2 linked regions of the Drosophila melanogaster genome follow. The protein of the gene in region 2 interacts with the protein of the main gene of each other region in a pairwise test. Each region holds a gene or a part of one and is shown on either strand. Other genes may lie near its edges.

Region 1 (3,938 bases), on a different chromosome or scaffold from region 2:
TAGGCTTTAAACTCCTTATCTGCAGCGGATAGATTTTCGTTGGGATTTAATATAATTGATTTGTAGAGCAGCATGTAACGAAGATTTTCCTTGAGCATTAACCACTTTTCCTCATTTTTCTTAAAGTCAAATCCATGGCATATGGTGGCGTATTTCCACCATGCGATTGGATTACTTTCTACGGTGCATGTGGGTCGCTTTAGCCTGTATTGTCGAACTTCCTTAACCTGACGGATTTCTGACAGCTTATCTAACATTTGCAGTCGCTGGACCTGGAAATATTAAAATAATTTATTAAAACAAATAATAAGCATATCAAATATGGTGATAACAACTGCGTCATGGGAAGTACAACTGTGTTTATTGGGGTACAAGTTCATTTTGGGGCTTGGTTAGATAGAAATAAGCAAATTTGTTGGTGATTGATATTGAACCAATATTATTCATTCACGAATAAAATGTATTGTTTGATAATCGCTTAAAAAGCAATCGAAATATGTACCTAATTCTGATGAACTTTGGACCTCAGTAAATTACGTCTCATTTAAGTGTTATTTGTGGCTTCAAGTTGGGCTTAGTTACCTTAGATATGTCTATGACCACCTCGGGAACCAGGAGTTCACAGGAAACCCTGGGTTTGTCTTTGGTACGTATCACCTGCTGGCATTTATCGCGCTTCCACCTGGCCGTTGCACAAATGGGCTTGATGATGAAATTGTGGGACCTCAGTTCGCAGGTGGAGTGCATTTTTTCGAGAATCTCCTGGTTAGAGTACGACTGACATTTGATGTCCTCGTGCAACAAATCCCAGTAGACCGAGAGCTCTTTGAGCTCCACCAGCTTGTAGTTCATTTCGTTGTTGTTCATTTTGTAGGACCCATTGGTCCAATCACAGTCGCAGCTCTGGGCGGTCAGAGATCCAATCTTGATGCCCGTGCATATCTTGCTCTTGCCGGTGTCCACGATGTCCTCGAACCGAAAGTGCACATCGGATATCTTGAGTTCAATGTTGTCAATGATGTTGGTGGCCATGTTGGTGCCATACTTCAGCCAGTTATTGTAGGATGAGAAGTAGTAAGACTCCATTTGTTTGCCCTTTTCGGAACGCCAGCCTGCTTCTGCGGTGTCCAGCACGGCCAGCTTATACTCCAAATCCTGCAACTTCTCCTTCTCGTAGTCCCAGTTGTCCAGGTTCTTCGGACAGATGATGCAGAACAGGCCCTCGATGGAGATGCACCATGGCGATGTCCTGAACTGGCGGACCGGAATCTGGAGTTTGATTTTACGGATACTGCCGGCGGTGACTTCGACCGGCAAATTGAACGAGCGGAGGGCATCTTTGCGTATGGGTATGTTCTCGAGCTCAACTTCGCCTGCGGGAAAATATATTGTTTATGCGATGCGGAATAAAGATAAACAATTATATCACAGTACCCGAGAGCAGTGCCACCGACAATTGGGCGGAATTCAAGTTCTCCAGATACTTTCCCAGATACGTGTTCAGCACCCACGTTATGAGGTCTCGCAACATGCTTGTTTATTAACCACTGACGCTAATCCTATTAAATATTTGTTTTTAATTCATGCCCTAAAACCACAACTATAAACATATGATTGGGGACTATCTACACCGCATAAATATTGCCGAGTCACAAATGGAACAAGTGGAATCGGAACAGGTTGTGGGATTGGATTGTAGTTGAATAAACAAGTGGTTTCTTTGGTTTATTTATTTCATAAATAATTTAAATGGGAAGTAGTTAATAAGATAATATATATCAGTCCTAATTTCGGGTGTTGCTTAAGTTTGAAATATATGTAAATGATGTTTTGCCGATGTAGCTATCAATCAGATTGGTATCGGATATCGGTCTTGTGCGATATTCTTGAAATTCCATCACTAATTATTGTTAAAAACAAAAATTTTATTGTGATTGCTACAGAGTCTATTTCCCAAAATGACCGATCCAAACGTGCCAAGAGGAGCCCTAAGCTTGCAGGCAAGTAATTTGGGTAGAGTATCTAGTGAACTTCAATAAAATGTATATTTTTCTTAGAATGTTCTGAAATATACGGTGCAACACCACGATCCAAATCCAGAAGCAGCCCCAAAGTTGGAAACTCCCGATCCTGAGGTATGTAAACAGCTCAAATTGAGAGAATTTTACAAATATTTAGAATAGTTATTGTGTTAGGCTTTAAAACACCTCAAGTAGTTATACTTTCTGAATAATTCACAAGTGTGTCCTAAGCAGTGAGTCAATCGAATCATCTAGAACCTATGTATTTGGCCATGTGCTCCTCCAAATGGAACTTCTATTGAAAGCCAAATTTGTTTGGAAATTACTTTTCTGGCACTTTGTACAGTAGTATGAAAGCTCTTTTTGATATAACAAAGTATAACATTAGTTATTGACTAGTTACTTGGAGCTACAATATATAAAATATTTTATTTTTCAGAGAGCTCAGTTTTTGGCAAATGCCCTAAATGCCATGACAGTGGATGCTGCAGCGGCCCTGAAAGCAGCTTTGGTGATCTTGAACAGCGAAGAATCCAGCACGGACGACCAAATCGAGAGTCTGGATGTCATAAGGAGCCACATCGATGACATCGACAATGCCATAACGCTGGTGAAGCTAGGAGGAACTGCAACTCTACTCCGCTACATAACACATTCGGATAGCGAAGTGCGAGAATCGGCACTCAATACTGTCGCTGAAGTGGCCCAGAATAATGTATTTTGTCAGAACGCCCTCATAAACGATAAGTTTTTGCCTGCACTTGCAAAGAACTTGAGCCATTCGAATCCGAATACCGTGCGGTGCTCCTTGTATGCGATATCATCGCTGATAAGGAACTTTCAGCCTGGATACGACGAGTTTAAGCGCATAAAGGGGATCAGGTCCTTGATACCCTGTCTGAAATCCACAAATACAAATGTCTACGTGAAGACTGCTTTTCTAATTGCATCGTTAACTTCAATCGAGAAGTCTGTCAGAGGTAAATTGAAGTAGTAATTATAACCCAGTGTTTGAAATCCTAATTATTTGTATTCCCATCAGATGATTTTGTGAAGGAAGAAGTGTTTCCTGTGCTAGTGGAAAACCTTAAGCCCGTTGATGACTTTGATATCAAACAAGAAACTACGCTTTTTGCACTTTCATCTCTTTCGCGGGAATCGGAGTTAAAACTCTCTACGGAAAAACGAGAGGAAATCCTATCGAAGCTTCAACAAATTATTTCCAAAAACAAACAGTCGGAAACGTGTGAAGTAAGATTATTTTATATATCTATTGTTATGTATCAAATTTCATACCTACTTTATTTACAGGACATGGTTAATTATGCAAGAAATATTTTTGACAACTTAAGTGCACATTAAAAACAAATCGATTTTTCACGTAAATGTTAAGTTAAATAAAATGGGCTTTGAAAGTATCTCTAGTTCACAAATCTTTCGAAGAAACACATTCCTGTGTTTATAATCTTGTAAAAATTTATTAATTTCAATGCGTCAGTTATGTTGGCAATGTGTCAAAGTCGTCACCAACTGAAACGATCGGAACGTGCTCCAAATTAACTTCAATCGGGTTGTCACATAGCCTATTTCGTTTTGCAAATATATTCCAATCCATCACCTGCACGGCGTGCAGACTTTCCGCCTCGTTATGATGCCGCAACACCATGGACTCCTTCAAAGGTAACAACAATTAAGATTTACAACGAAAAATATTTTGTTTAGGGTCAGCATACCTTAATTTTCTCCCACTTGTCATCAACATCTTGCAGCCAGCTGAGGAGCAAACGTCCATTAAAGCGGCAACGAGCACTCTTTTCCTTTTCATCCTGCTCCGGTGTGATCATGTTGTAGACCTCGTCGTCCTTCAAATACGTGCAAACGGAATAGGGCGCCGGCTGTCCAGATATGCTCCTGGCC
Region 2 (4,387 bases):
TCACACGCCGCTCCCAGCCAGACATCCATCAGCCGCAGAACGAGGAGAACTGGCAGGGGCAGGCGGATAAGGGCCAACCACCATCCGGAAAGGAGGAAAGCGAGCTGGTGCGGAATGCCCAGCAGACCACTCAGTACATGAACTATTTGTCGGCCCAGAAATGAGTTTATACACTTTACGAAGTCATCCACATGTACGAAAATTGTTTTTGAAGTCCGTTTAGAAGTTATTTGTTTCGCCTTCGTATATGTTTCCTAATGGATGTGTATATCCACGTAGACTGTTTTCACATTATTTTGTCTTCAACTGAGCTCAAATGTTAAACCAATACAAAACAATTTAGACCAATCACAAAACAAATCCATCTCAAATCCAGGCTTAAAGAATATTAAGCATGCATGCATTACACATTGGAGCCACTAAATTTGTAAATACCAATTATATATATATGAATGTCTTGTGTAGTCCCACACAACCACGCCACATAAACACTCCCACACAAAATACAGTCACACACACTCATTTTTATATTTATATATACAAATTGCTTAGAAACTAAGTACAAAGTCAATGAAAAAACAAAAATAATCCTATTTCTATTGAAAAGTAAAACGCCTGTTGGTGAAATGTTAAAAGCATGTTGAACATATAAAAATTTGTATTTTTAGCTAAATATATACTTATATATTAAATGTCATGTTATAGTGCAGGTTCAGCCGATTTATTAAACGAATTATACAAGCTTACGTATTTTTAAAGCAAATTTTGTGAGGCCCTCTGTTGGAACAACAAAGCCAAGCCGGAGTGCAGAGAAAAACATGAATTGTAGAGTTATACGAGTAGTCTTATATAGATACTTAAACCTCTTTGTTTAGGTATAATCAATATGTTCGCAACATGCGTAGGTTCAAAACACTAATCAGCATATAAATAGCGTCTAACACATTTTTAATAAAACAAAAAAATTGCATTATCATTAATCAAACATTAAAACAAATTCTTTTGAAAACTTTTGAAATCACCAGCAGAATGTCATAGTCTTACCTCCGTATTTACATCACCTGATTGGATGAATGTATTTTCCGAATCCTTGTGGGTGACTCCCCTCGTCTTCTGCGTTTCCACTTTCCAGAACTTCTGTGGGCAACTCTCGGTTGTGCATACTTTACAAAAGCGATAGTAAGAAAGCTTTAAGACCGCAGTTTTTATTAATCTTGCCATTTTGAAGACAGTTGGTCCGTTTTAGATACAATATACAAAAAACCAAGATTTCCGTTTATCGTAGGCATTGATCAAGTCAAGGTCAAAATATTTTTAAACCCGTGTCTAGTCACAAACATCTTCACTTTCCAAACTATTATAAAGAATTGCATACTTGAGGGCAGCAAATAGCAGACTAACTTATACATATGTATATGGGGACTTTTATTTGTACATAATTTGCTGGCAGTCAAAACAAAGTTATCAATTTTTCGCTTGATTAAAGAAATTGGGGACAAATCTTGGCTTACTGATAAGCGAATTTAAAACAAGTACAGAAATAATAGATCCGATTTTTTTCAAAAATAGAATAAGACGTACATATGTATTTATAACACAGATTCATACAATAAGGCATAAGAGATTTAAGATATCAGCAGCATCATCGATCTGCCTGGTCACGTGGGGTGACCACCAGGACTTCGTAGGTGTTTACGCTCACCTCTTGACCATGATGCGGGATGTACATGACCTTGTGGGAAGGATGCACCTTGCCCAGACGCAGGATACCCTGGTAAAGACCACGACCCGTGTAGGTGACCTCACCCAGCTCGGAGTAGCCCGTGTTCAGAGCATCCCGCGGATATGTTCCATGCTGTCCGGGCACCCACTTGTAGTCACAGTCGTTGAGCACCAGGATCTCGACATCATCGGTCAGAGTTCGGGCGCTACAGCTGTGCGAACCGAAGGCAGCCTTCTTTTCCGGTACATAAGGAGCAGGCAGGAGATCGTCGTGGTAATATCCTCTGGCCACATACGTGGGCAGTCCGTCTTCGTTGGTGCCACACTGCACAGCTCCCTCGGGCGGCAGGTGGGCATCCGGTAAGCTGTCTCTGTCCAGATCAATGGGCACCCAATCCATGGCCACCTTGGGCAATTCGGTGTCATCGAACTCCGGGGCCTCGGCGAAGTTTAGGTACAATCGGTGCACGCGTCGTCGGTCGCATGGGTCTCTGCATTGGGGGCAGGTCCTGGACCTATTCAGCCATCGGGTGAGGCAGTCCTTGTGGAATACATGACCGCACCGTGAAGTTGAGAAAATTATGTCGTTGGCCCGGAAAAACTCGTTGCAAATTGCACATAAAATGTTCAGTGAAGGTGATGAGTCATTTGTGGGTGCAGTTTCTGCGATTTTTCCGCCGTTACCTTCCATTTCACTACTATTACTCTCCATAACTACGTCCCTATGGATACTGAGCTTTGAATATGTGTGGCTCTATTCTTCTGTTCCAAATTTATTTCACAACAATGAGCGGAAAACGAAACGATTCGTATCAACTTTCCTGCTTTATTAGAGATGACCTCTGGAGAATACCAAATATACTAGAAATACTGTTATTTTAATAAGTTTGAATCTTGATTGAAAATAATCCTTTAAATATCTTATAGCATTAAGTAAGTAACATTTATATTAAGTAACATTTATATTAGCGTCTTAATCATAACTCTATTTTGGCTAAGATAATGTACTGTGCTATCATTTTGTGGTTATCTACTGGATCTTTACTTTGTATTAAAGTAGCGTTTCAAACCTGCACCAGTACTTCGTTGGTGCCAACGTTAACCTCTTGACCGTGCTGCGGGATGTACATGACCTTATGGGAAGAATGTACCTTGCCCAGACGCATGATGTCCGTCCTCGTTAGTGCCGCACTGCACTGCTTCCTCGGGCGGCAGGTGGGCATCCGATAAGCTGTCTCTGTCCAGATTCATGAGCAGAGGGTGCTCGGGAAAATCCCTGTTATTCTTGTGAGTCAGAGGACAGGCTTTTAACCGGGTACTTCTGCGAACAAGTTCGTCGTGAATGCACCTGTGGCCCATTGTCTGTTCGGGAATTAGTTTCCGAATCCGGTATGGCGATGGGTCATTTGTGGGTGCTTCTCAATTTTCCATTTCTTTGCTGTTACCATCCATATCTGAATCCCTTTACACACTGAGCTTTAAATACGTATGGCGCACTTGTTTTATTTTAAAATTAACGGATACGAGCTTTATAGAGATGGACTTTAAGTAGTGCCAGAAATACTGTTATTTTTATATTTCGTAAGTTTACATGGATCTCAAACGCTTATAACATTTAATTTCAAACTTTTTGCTAATATTTAGGTCTCAAGGTTTCAGAACAATTTTGTTTTATTTTGTTATAGATTTTTACTAAATAGACTAATTAAAGTGTATGCCAGTTGTTAAACAAATGTATTTCATAATCAGGAAGTCAAATATGTAATGTATATATATAATAAATTTGGATTTTATAGCTAAAAACTAATAAAAGGTTCACCTGTGCTCAATAATAGTTTCAAATACTGTTCAGGTCATTTTTAACACAAGAATTTATAAATATTTAAAATTAGCTATCGATAAGTGGCACCAGGTACTTACGATACTCAACCGATCTGGCAACGACGCGCGGTACGTGGCTTCGGGACACGGAAAACAATTTTACGGGAAAAGCTAAACAAATTATGTACAATTCGCAATAAATCCGAAAAGATATAGGGACAAACACCAGACGGAGAAGAGGAGCACAAAAGGCTGCATGAACTGTAAGTGCCAAGGACCAGATACCCGTTTCTTTTTCTGCGTTCACCCGTATCCTTTCACTTTTAATTGCTAAGTTCAACATACAACTACAAATGGATATTCAGCTGATTTACAGCTAGTGCGGTTTCTCAATGGCTCAAATTATGTTTCCCAAACTTGCCGCCACTCCAATGGAAACAAGTTAATGTGCGCATAATATGCAAATTTTCTGTTTGTTTTGGTTTGCCAAAATACAAACAATACATACATATGTACGCAAGTACATAGTACATATCTATGTTTGGCACACACACTGACGCATTAACTGCGCTCTTTGTTTGCCGCCTATAAATAAACGCCAAAAAATGCGTACGAGATTATGCCATTTGTTGCTTTTCAGCTGTGCTTTGCGTACGTCAACAAAGCTTTATTATATAAACAAATACAAAACGGCAATCAGCTGTTTCTAACAAAAAATAAACGGTTGAATAGCCTTGTCATTATCATTGTTTATTGTGCTTTGCCATAGATATATGTATGTATGTACAATGGCCATTTCACTATTAAACGAAATTATTAGAACGGCTAATTAAACTCTCTATCT

Evidence for each region.
Region 1: the proteins of CG10916 (region 2) and CG10973 interact in a two-hybrid assay, tested with the Drosophila melanogaster proteins (one large-scale study listed by BioGRID).

Annotation. Positions count from the first base shown.
Region 1 is NT_037436.4:12,752,739-12,756,676, reverse strand, and holds CG10973 (uncharacterized protein), read left to right. Parts: upstream 1-1,902; 5' UTR 1,903-1,958; coding exon 1,959-2,000; intron 2,001-2,057; coding exon 2,058-2,135; intron 2,136-2,460; coding exon 2,461-3,001; intron 3,002-3,063; coding exon 3,064-3,272; intron 3,273-3,274; exon of another isoform or gene 3,275-3,332; coding exon 3,333-3,383; 3' UTR 3,384-3,438; downstream 3,439-3,938. Other genes in the region: Vps13D (vacuolar protein sorting 13D), read right to left, coding at 1-272, 583-1,373, 1,435-1,531; CG10984 (uncharacterized protein), read right to left, coding at 3,520-3,693, 3,755-3,938.
Region 2 is NT_033778.4:18,171,857-18,176,243, reverse strand, and holds CG10916 (uncharacterized protein), read right to left. Parts: upstream 2,576-4,387; 5' UTR 2,435-2,575; coding exon 1,643-2,434; 3' UTR 519-1,642; downstream 1-518. Other genes in the region: CG5726 (uncharacterized protein), read left to right, coding at 1-164.